Drosophila melanogaster: one gene and its partner. The protein of the gene in region 2 interacts with the protein of the main gene of each other region in a pairwise test. Each region holds a gene or a part of one and is shown on either strand. Other genes may lie near its edges.

Region 1 (6,553 bases), about 14 Mb from region 2:
TGTCAGCTGCTCATCCCGCCCCCTCCCACAATTTTGCATTGCATTTCGCGTTTGCATTTATTTTCAGCAAATTAACGCCGCTCGCCGCGAGATCTGTGCCAATAAATCATTTGATGACTGCTCCCTGCCGCTTTAGTTTTGCATTTTTTTTTTTCTTTCTGTTTGTTGGGCTTCTGTCTCGTCACAGATATTTGTTTATACTACGCGCGGATTTGGCTTTAATTAAACGGAATGGAATCGAAGAGCAAGAGCTGCCGTTACTCGTCGACGGCCTCCGATTTTGGTTCGGAATGTGATTGTGCAATTAGCGGCACCCTCGCCCGACGACAAGTGTTCGTGATTTAATGTTCTATAGCCTTTGATGTGACAGATGAAAAAGCGTAGAGAAGATAATGGCGCCCTACACAAAGTACAAATAAGGCCACCGATTAGACCGCATGTCCTCCGATATATGGGTGGCATATTTTCCTTTAATGTAGCAGACTTCCAATTCCCAGAGGAAACCAATTGCATTTTAATTTTTTTCCATAATTCTTTTATTTTGTTTTTAATTTTCTTTTCATGAACTTGCTTTAGCACAAACATTTCGTTGTTATTTTCTTAGGTGCATTTGCCAGCTATTAGTTGCTCGTTAACATTTCGCTTAGAAACTAAAATACTCTTTCATAGCAATCCTTAAGTGTGTAAACTAGGAATTAAGCTAGGGAACTGTTAAGTTACTTAATTTACAGAGCGGTTGCAAGCGCGTAATTTATAGGGAGTAATAACTATAGATAGTGTTTTGTGTAGGAATAAACGTCTGAAGGTCGAAGCTTTTGAAGTGCGGCGATAGCGATAGGCTTTGTGTCGGGTGATTACGATAATACTTTCGGCTATCCAGGGGTGGTTAAATAAATACGCCAACAACTTACAGCTCGAATTCGCTACGGATGGGTCTTACTCTAGGTTAGGATTATACGTATATATATATATATTTTTAGAGATATATACAAAAACATATGTACGCTACAATTATATCACATGAAAACCATTTGTACGCCCTCGAATATTGCACGCCCCCGTCAGAAGGAGTAACCCCTTATGGGTAACCATTGGTCAGCGCTTAGGGGATCTGCCCGTTCATGCGCATCTCGAGCTCCTCCTCCTCCTTGGTCAGCGGCACGGTGGTGTGGTTGTACAATCCCTGGGCCATCAGCTGCAGTGCCAGCGGATTTTTGGAGCCCGTCGACTTCTTGATCTTGGCCCGCTTGTTCTGGAACCAGATCTTGATCTGCGCCTCGTTCAGGCCCAACTCGCTGCTCAGCTGCTGGCGTCTCCGCTCGGTCAGATAGCGATTCTCGTTGAACTCCCGCTGTAAGTGGAAGAAATGGAATGCTGGATGAGTTTCGGATGGCAAGGATATCCATGTTGTATAGTCAGGTAGGGAAAATCAATTATTTGCGGTTTCGGCCGAGCGTGGCTGATTGGTTAAGTACGGACGGGACACCACATTGCCAGGATGCATTAGCAGCGGGCGGTGTCAATATTTTGGTGCAAATATGACACAACAAGCGTAGGGCAATTGGATATGGATATGGATGGATATTGGTATAACCATATAACCATATATGGAAAAAAGAACTGAATCTCACCTTAAGGCGGGCCAACTGCTCGCTGGAGAACGCGGTGCGTGGACGCTTCTCGTCGTTGGTCTTGTCCTTTGGCTGTTTGGGGCGGCGGTAGCGGGGTCCTGGAATAAACAAAAACACGAGAAATACGTTAGTTCTATTTGCATAAATGCGCCACATACTATTAATAATATTAATGATTCAATTAGCATATGTCTGGGCGGAATTCCTCGGCCGGAGCTGGAGCTCCCTTTCGCGTGCTGGCGGGGAAGTGTTCAATTTGTCAGCTGTCAGCGCAAGAGAAGAGTAGAACTCCGGCGAGTTAACGAACCCAAAGGTCTACGGCATATTTTAGGCAAATGATTTGCCAGCTAGCCAACTCTCTAATTAGCGACTAAGTCCAAGTCACCGGCTAATTGGCAACGCGGCACCGCAGCAATCCGTAGTGCTTATTAGATTTCCACACATTGTAAATTATAATTTAATTGACCGCCAGTAAGTGGAGATCGTTTGATTAATTCCTAGCCGCGGAGTGGGGCCATCAACGCCTCGCTTATGGGCTGCCATCGATTGCATCGACACCAAATTAAAAAACCATTGCCGACCATAAAAAAGCACTTAACTCGTCAATTAACACACGATCTAAGAAGAGCTGCAAGGAAAATCTCCGCTTGTCAATGGAAAACTCTTCTCCTTTCGAAGGGGCTTCCCCCGCCATCATATCTCCCCCGCACCTACTTTTCCCCTGTCAATCGTCAGCGCGTTTTAGGGTCTCGGCTTCTGCGTGGCGTGTGTGCGTGAGCGGTGACCTTCGACCTGAGGATCTAACAGTTCCGATAGACAAGCGCTGGCTCTGCGCTACATGTTGTCACATAAAGTGTCGCTCTTCAAAAGCAGCGCAGCACTGCGTGAGGCCCAAAATCGGATTCGGATTCGGATACGAAATGGGAATGGGAATGGGCATGGTTATAGAAATGGGAGTCAGATTCGGGCTCATTGCCATTGTCCGCGTGTCGCCTAATTGTGGCAGTGTCCTTCGGATTTATGACACAAAACAGAGCTGCTTGAAAGGCTGCCGCCAACATAACGCTCCCCAAGGGTGGTCCCCATGTAACCATATACCATTTACCATTTTCACATCTTTTTTTTTTTAACGAACCTTTGGGACTTCCTTGTTTTGACAACACTGAAGATGGTGCCCGACGAACCCTCTTTCTGACCCACTTAAACGCTAGGTAATCGCATAGATACTAACCTGAGCTGGGACGATCGCTGTAGCGGGTGCAGTACACCCAGGCGGGCCACATCTCGTTCTTGCCGCCCTCTGTGGTGGTGGATCCCGTCTCGGAACGCGTGTCATCCGAGGACTCCATTCCGGAATCTCGGCTAACGGCGGATGGCGGCGGGATTGGCTGCGGCTGGGGACTGCTGGCATTGACTCCGGATCCACTGGCTCCCAGTCGGCTACTGGGCGAGGAGTTCAAGGAACTGGCCGCCGAGGAGCAACCCGACGAGGAGGAGCTCGAGCTGGTGGCCACGGAAGAGGTGCTGCTAATGGTCGAGGCATTGGAGGCGGGTGGCGGACTGGCCAAGCTGCTGGCACTGCTACTCAGCGGAGGTTGGGTCATCGTAGGGGCAGCAGGTTGTCCGATCTGCGAGACCGCCTTGCACAGGGATCCCAGAGCAGATTTCTCTGGATTGGCATCGCTCATCTTGGAGCTCATGGGCGGCGGGATGACGGCATTGGCTGCACTCCTGCGCAGCCGACTCTGCACGATTTCCTCGTGTATCCTGGGATAGGCAGCCGGATTGAAGCAGTTAAGGAAGTTGGCCCGTTCCAGCATCATGGCCGCAGTAGCGGCTGCGGCGGCAGCCTGCTGTTGCCGGCTAAACTCCAGCAGATCCACTCTTGTAAAGGCGGAGGGCGTGGCAGTCTGGGAACGACTCGCCTCGAAGGGGCGGAATATGCTGGCCTGGTTCTCCATCGACTTGCCCGGCTTCTGGACATCTCCGAAACGATCGCTCAGGATGTTGGAGATGGAAAAGGCCAGCGAGGGCTTGGCCGTCGACTGCTGCTGGTGGGCGGGTGGTGGCAGGCGTCCGCCCGCCGACGTATCATCCACATCCACATCAATGTCGTCATCCTCCTCCGCCTCCTCCTCCTCGTTGGTGGTGTGCGTCTGATTGTGGAAACTCATGTCACCGATCACGGAGTCGCTTTCCTCCTCCTTGATGGTCAGCGGCGTGGACGAGGCGGGCGTGGAGCAGGATGCGGGCGATCCACTGCCACTGAGGCGCTGCTGCAGTGCAGCAGCATGAGCGTGGGCGGCCGCAGCAGCAGCTGCAGCAGCGGCGGCTGCAGCGGCATCGAAGGCCATTGCCGGATGGTGGAAGACACCGGCGGCCAGTTGCTGTTGGTGCAACTGCTGCAGTTGCTGCAGCTGGTGGAGGTGCTGCATTTGCTGCTGCTGTTGCTGCTGCTGCTGTTGCTGGTGGTGAAGATGCTGCATTTGTAGGGTAATGGGGCTGGGCGCTGACTGTGGACTGCAGCGATCCTCCAGGGCCATTGGTTTCGACTTGGTGCTAAATCGCAACTCGCTTAAGACACTTGTCACTGGGTCACTTGACACTGAGCCACTGATTCTTCTGATTGCTCAGAATCTTCTGATTCTCTTCTCTGTTTGGTGTTTTTTGTTTGGCTTATGCTTTCGTGTTTGATTTGCAACTGTTGTTCCGACACGCACGTCTGTTCACATCGAGCGCAACGACTGAATTAGTTGACTACTTCGGAATCGCAGCGCCGACGTCGGGGAGAGTTAACGCGAGAGCCGATTGAACTGTCACGGTGGAAAGAGAGGTCCGAGTGCGGGAGCGAGAGGGCGAGATCCCACAAGTAGCTGGCGAAGTGTGTGCGAGCGAGCGAGTGAGTGAGTGACAGCAGTTGGTGACAGTGACATGAAGAGATGAGAGTAGAAGATGTGTCTTTTCGGCCTTACACTGATCGATTTTCGCTCTCTCTTAGCCTTGTCACCTGCCCCATGCGAACCGGTTTCGCCGGCTCACTCACTCCTATTAGCTGGCCAGAGCGCTCTCTCGCTCGCTCCCTCTCGCTCTCACTCTCTCTTGCCAATTTGGCGAGGGGGGCTTGTTAGGCAGCAATATGACTTTATTATGCGCATGCTGGAGCTGTCAGCCGGTTGACAACTGTGTCCCCAGCGAACTGCGCAGGCGCAAGCTCTCCCTCTCTCACGGGGCGTTACCGAGTGGGGGTCATATAGCGGCACTGTTCACTCCCTCTGCGAGTAGGCCAGGAAAATGGCTGCCTTTCCATGAGGGGGAGAGCCACATGCCATCTCTTTCCACAGACACTTTTCATAAGCATTTAGTTTTTGTTGATTTTGTTTTCGGCCGCGACGTTTCAATCTGCGTTTTCTACAGCCTACAACTTTATCGACACCACCTTTAGGCCATGTGTAGAGGGGGAATCGAAAGAGAGGAAAAAAACCGCAAAGCTAATTGTTTTAATTTAAATGAAGGGAAACTTTTTATCACCCCCACTCCCACCACCAGTATCATTTGCGATTTTTCACAAAAATACGCTAAATACACGATGACAATTTATTTTTGAGGCCTTCAATTAACCAGTTAAATGTGCCTTGAAAAACAGCTGACGAAATTGATTGATATTTAATTGACATTTAATTTATTTATTTGCCCATCGAATATCGATTTGCCAGACGAGCGAATGAAAAACCATCGCTAACTGTCAAAATAAACCTTAGAAGGTGTTAAAAACGAACGCCATTTGGCATTGGACATTAACAATAACGCTTTTTTGTGGGGCTCTAATCAACCGACGATCTACAAATGTGAAACATGTGCTGCAAATAGTGTATAGATGTGGGATTCCGAACATATAACCACTGATATATAGCTCATAAATCAACGAATCTGTTCGATGTGAATAAAACCGAAATCAAATAACGAAATCGCTAATGAATTGCCTTATAGCTAGCAGATTTTGTTGTGTTAATTTTTGCATAATAAAAGCGATCGTTGCCATGTGGGCTACTGATTTATGGGGCAAAGGATTTAATTAGAGAGTAATCTCGCCACCACTCACACTCCCACATTTCCTGTTGCCAATTGTGACATAAGCAATTCGCGCCAACAAACTAACGCCCAAACAATAAGCCATAATCCATATTTAGAGCAAATTTCGTGGTTAACCTGTTCCACAATCAATGGGCCGAAATTTATTCAATTTTTATGCGCATTTTTATAAGTATCAAATGGACTTGAATCGAATATAAATTAATAAATATATTTGAACAGCTCAGATGCATAAATTGAAATTCCGTTGAGTGGTCTTAACCGTTTCGATTCGATCTTAACCGGTTCGAACGCACCTTCCAGTCTGCGGTCAGCCATTAAAAGTCGAAGTTGGAAAAACTGGAAACTGGAACGGAGCCAAATCTATTTCCCCTTTTGAATTTCGAACTTCGAATAGATAGTTGTCTCACTCGCTCTCGCACTGTGCGCTTCTCGCTCACTCTGCCCTGCTCTCTCACGCATGACAACAATGGCTGCTGCCTCTCTCTCGCACACCCCCTTTGACCATCTTCCTCTTACACATTCCGCTGTTGCCGTCGGCAGCTGTTGATTTTCCGCTCAACTTCCACCCTTCCACACCGTTCCATTCCCCTACACACTTTCCGCTTTGATTGCCATGATTTTCAATTATTACCGTTGTCGTGTTTGCTCAGCATTTGGCCACGAAAAGGGTTAAACTGCTGCCGACAGTTGCGTAAAAATGCGTTAATTAAAGTTTTCAACTTGTTTCTGATGCTGCTGCTGTGGTTGCTATTGTTGCTGTGGCTGCTTTTGCTGCTTTCCCGTTTGCCCTTAATGATAATGATGCGTCTGTTTGGATAAAATGGTAACTG
Region 2 (4,881 bases):
CCAGTTGTTTGGCTGGAATGTGTGACGGCTTATCTCGGCGCAACTGACAACTGGATCCCAATCCCAATCCCAATCCCGATCTCGATCTCGGTCGAGCCCCCGACTGTGAGACACATTTTTTGCATCCGCCCGTGTTGTGGCTTACAATTTCAATTGAAATTTAATTAATTAGATGACAGTTGGATTGACACTTGACTGCGCTTTATACATGACCGATTCGTGTTGCGTTTTTGACTATATTATGTTTGGGCTCTTTCTAGTTTTTTAGTTTGACTGACTGATGCGCTCTGTTTTTTTAATAATTAAATTTCTTGGAATCTGGAACTTTGTCAGCGGGACATTTGATTATATTTGGTGACTGAAATTTTCATCAAGGAACGAGCCCCTGTGGAATTAAAAAGGAAGCCGAAGTTAAGAGCGCCTGTACATAACCAAGTCCAAAGTACAACATTTAAAATCTGAAATCCCGATCGTCGATAAGCCGCCACTAAGCGAGTCATATCAGGTAGGCATAGGGAGGGGTAATCGCGGTCAGGTATGAAATCAAGACACAAGAGATGCCTAAAGCATATTCTAATTAAGCGTGAAGCTCACCTGGAGGCAGTTTTTACGCCTACTGCCACGCAAAAGCGAGCGCACACAATATAAGGCCTATAACACCGAAAACAATCAAAATCCCGATCTAACGGTTTTTGTTATTGTGAGGTCATACAAAAACAGCAATGTGATTGCATATTTTTGTCATTCATAAAATTTTAAATGCAGTTTTTAATTTTTTATATTAATAAAGCACTAGTCCAGCACTCTTCCCATAAAAAAATAAGAAGATAGTAAGCTAAAAACTTAGTTTATTAAAAAACTACTTTTGCGAATTAAACCATCCTAAATTTCTTTCTGTGCATATTACACAGTGCGCATCTTTTGGATTTGGAATGAAGTGATGCCGACTCTGATCTATAGTCCGATCGTATCGATCGCCCGAATCCTAACGCCCCATAAAGTGTGGCTAATTGCGGTTTCAAATAAAGAGCGGGACGATGCCGCCAAAAGAGGCTGGCGCATGAATACACTAGTGCTTGTATTAATCCTAAACCCTACACTCCCTCCACCGTCGAGAAGTTTTGCCGAAAGGGAAAATCAACTTCAAGACGGCCGTCATCCATCCATGCAGGCGTGAATCGGTGGAGCTGGTCCGGCTAGTGGGCAGTATGCCGAAATCTTTTGCCAGACTTTTGGTCTCTGTGAATGAGTCATATTGGCGTAGGTTCAGTAATGAGCTGAAACACAATTTCCCCGTTGGACTTCGCTTTTGCCACATAAGGTGTGGGGAAGTGTGCTCATCTTTTAAGCTTAACGCAAATCTGAAGCAAAATAATATCGCAGTATTGGCAAAGGTGGCTAGGTTTGTAAGACGGCACATTAAAACAGAGAATAGATGACAAGGAATATGTCGTTAATTATAAATTTTGTTAATCTAATAAACGAAACGAACTTATATGCGAGCCATTTTAATGTTTTGATGTAGGACCGATTCTTTCACGCCTCAAAACCGGAAGCGAAGTCCCGACGGCGAAGAATCATATAAATATATTCTCGTATAGCACCTTTTCGCCTCAAGGACAAAACACAAACGATGCCGACAAGGAACACGACAGAAGCGGTGTCTTTATGGTTTAATTGATTTCTTAACGGTTTGGGTGGCAAGCGAAAATTTGTCGTCGCTGTTGTTCAACAATATTGTCAATGAGCGGGCAAGTTCAAACTGGGTCCTTGGTCAGTTTGGGCCATCTGTGCAGCTAGTCAGCCGACATATGCAAAAGGCCAGTAGGTGTCATAGGCAACGTGCCATAACAAAGCCAGCGGGCGGTACGAAACTGCCACGTGACTTTTCGGAAAACGGAAGTAAACTGATTCGCATTCGGTGCGTATTTTGACCCTCTTCTATCTGGACATATTGGCATGCGGTTAAGGCTACCGGCAGGTCCTGCAAATCCTCGCATCGTTTGTTTTGGTACATTTTATTGCTTCCTGCAACCTTGCAGGTGCATCTCGGTACTCACCTTTATCAGCTTTTCGCGTATTTCCCAGCTGAATATGCTGGGGTTTTCCTTTCGCAGCTCATCGATCCGCGTTTCAATTTCGGGAGAGGTCACCTTGGGCTTAGATCCACCTATTACGCCCGGTCTAATAGAACCCGTCTCCTGGTATCGGTTCAGAATCTTCGATACGCAGCCGTGAGACACGCGGAGCTGGCGCGATATTACACAAGGCCGCACTCCACTGGCCGCCATTTCCACGATCTTCAGTCGAATGTGATTGGGCAACGGACGTCCATTGATAAAGACGCCCCCAAGCTGATTTACCCGGCCTTGTCCTGTGGGCAAGTTAGATCAATTGGCATAAGCACTGATAAGTCAAATCATTTATTATTATTCATTAGTCAGTAGGAATCGTTCACTTCCTTCTGAACTTAACCTAATGTGTAGCTTAAAAGACATTATGGATTCTGTTCCTTAATTATAGTGTATACATATGTACCGTACTATCTTACGTGTAAGGAGTTCATGGGAATGTATTCTCTTCAGGCGTCGGAGGGAAATAGGGTTCAAATGTAAACAAGTCTAGGTCTCGCATGATTTCAAGGGGTAAGTTTTTTGAAATACACAGTATAAATGATATGATATATGTTGAAATTACTTACCTTGAAAGGGATACCCTGCGAAAAGGGGCCGCAACGAGTTCGCGCTGGACATATCCATGGTCCGAATGCAAAGAGCTTATAGCAATCGAGAATCTAAGCGACGCTGCACTCAAAAAACTTTCTTTATTTTCGGTAGGTTAGTGCATCCGAGTCGATACCATTGCACAATTATATTTGAAATGAGCTATGATCAGTAGGCTGTCGTTCCTTGTGGGAAATCACTTAAAGCTGGCCCAAAGGACCCACTTCATCACTACGACGGGCGGCTCCCGATTCCGACGGTACTTTGCAACTCTCAGTCCGGTGGTGAGAAGCGGGATTTTTCTTGGAATCACGCGCGCTTCAGCGATCAAACTGCACGAGACGTGCAAAGCAACTAAAGAGAAGCGCGAGCATAAATTAACGAGGGCCGGCCGGTCCGGGCGATGACTACGACTACTCCGCAGACGGGCAAACAATGAGATCGCTCCACAAACTGGTTTTCGCGCCGAACAACCACCGCCAGATGGAGACGCAGATGGAGATGCTGGCAGGAGGGAGAGTGAGAGCAGCTTTCGCGCCCGCCCTTTCGGTGGTTGCTGCCTACTGGAGCGCCACGACCAGGCACAATATGGCACCGATCAAAGCCTCACAGCCGAGCAGAGAAAGAGAGAGCCGGTAGTGAGCTGACCGCGCTTTAATCGAGGAATTGCCACGCCTCGAAAGACGTGATTGGCTGAGCTGGTTCAGGGCGGATCTGGGCTCAGCTCGCCCGACTTTTGATACTGCATCGCATCCATAATCCATCCGCACATCAACCCCCCTGACGACACTCGCTTGATCACTCTGTGAATGCAGCTGTCCCCGAGCATTGTGGGAATTGTATGACTTTTATTTCATCGCTGGCAGCCAATTAAACCGTGAAGGCTGCAGGGAGCACAGGACACATGCCGAGGACCACGACCAAGCCCAATCGCAAACTCAAGTCCAGCACCACATCCCAGTACCAATCGTTCCGGTTTTGTTACTTTCAGCACCCACAGTTCCATGTCGTGTGCTTCCAATATATGTTTATCCCATTTTGCAGTCTGCACCCTCCTTTAGCTTCTGGCTAGTTAGGTTAGTTCTTTGACAGAAATGTTTATGGGGTCTCAGTTTCCTTTAGCTTTCTGCCTTATCCTCTCATTTTTTTCAGGGCTTTCATAACATTCTGCATTTGATTAATTGAATGGAATGGAATGTAATTTAATGATGACCCTTTGCGGATTAGCTTTAATATCATTCATTGGTTATCATGCATTCATGATTGAAGGATAACAAAGCTTAGATACTGTGTACAAGCAAAAGCCTGACTAGTAAACACATCCAGCACATTGTTCTCCGAGCAACGAAAGTCAATTACCAATATACAAACACAAAAATCAATCAACAGCTATTAACAGCAAAGAAATTCACACCTGGTACAGTTTGAACGGTCTGCAGTTTTGAGAAATTGAAAAACCAACGAACAAAAGCGAAAACAGCGAAAGGACGTCATCATAATGTAGAGAATTAAGCGTGAAGTTTACGCATATTAAGGATACGCACATGCCGCCTGCATCTGGCATCAGGGCGAGACAGGGACAGGGAAGGGACGCAGCCTAAAAATGGCCGCTCGTCGTCCTGTGTTTGGTTCGTATTGGAGTATGTTTGTAAAAGCCGGCCGCATGCAAATTTCTGATATACAATAATATTACTAGTGCTGCGTTCCGAAACCGAATTGAGCAGAATGAGCTGGCAGGCTGAAGAAATATGCAAGGACTCTCCAAAGAAGGATTTATCTGCTAAGCCGACCTGGAGTCCCTGCGATAATGAGCATAAAAATCGATGTTAATGAAGCGTTGTGCAAGGAGCCCGTATGGACAGCCACTTGAGTGCACCGGTACGCCTCATCAACATCGGCAATAGAACTTGCCATGCAAATGAGCCAAACAGGACGTCCTAGGACAAGGCATATTTTAATTGTGTCTCCGCCTGTTTTCTAAGCGAAACCACAAGAACAGGCTCATGATAAACATAACAAATTATCTAATATGCGTATTGACAGTTTTCAATTATCGGAGTTCCTCATGCGTGGCAACGACAGAATTTAAACTTTTGATACGAGCCAAACGCTGCCATTTGGGTTCTTCAATGTATAGAGTTTCGTTTTTCGTACGTCA

The links.
Region 1: the proteins of gsb-n (region 2) and en interact in a two-hybrid assay, tested with the Drosophila melanogaster proteins (one study listed by BioGRID).

Annotation. Positions count from the first base shown.
Region 1 is NT_033778.4:11,523,497-11,530,049, forward strand, and holds en (engrailed), read right to left. Parts: upstream 4,715-6,553; 5' UTR 4,175-4,714; coding exon 2,863-4,174; intron 1,730-2,862; coding exon 1,632-1,729; intron 1,352-1,631; coding exon 1,103-1,351; 3' UTR 510-1,102; downstream 1-509. UniProt on the Drosophila melanogaster protein: This protein specifies the body segmentation pattern. It is required for the development of the central nervous system. Transcriptional regulator that represses activated promoters. Wg signaling operates by inactivating the SGG repression of EN autoactivation.
Region 2 is NT_033778.4:25,049,250-25,054,130, forward strand, and holds the start of gsb-n (gooseberry-neuro), read right to left. Parts: upstream 3,083-4,881; 5' UTR 2,760-3,082; coding exon 2,702-2,759; intron 2,375-2,701; coding exon 2,061-2,374; intron 1-2,060.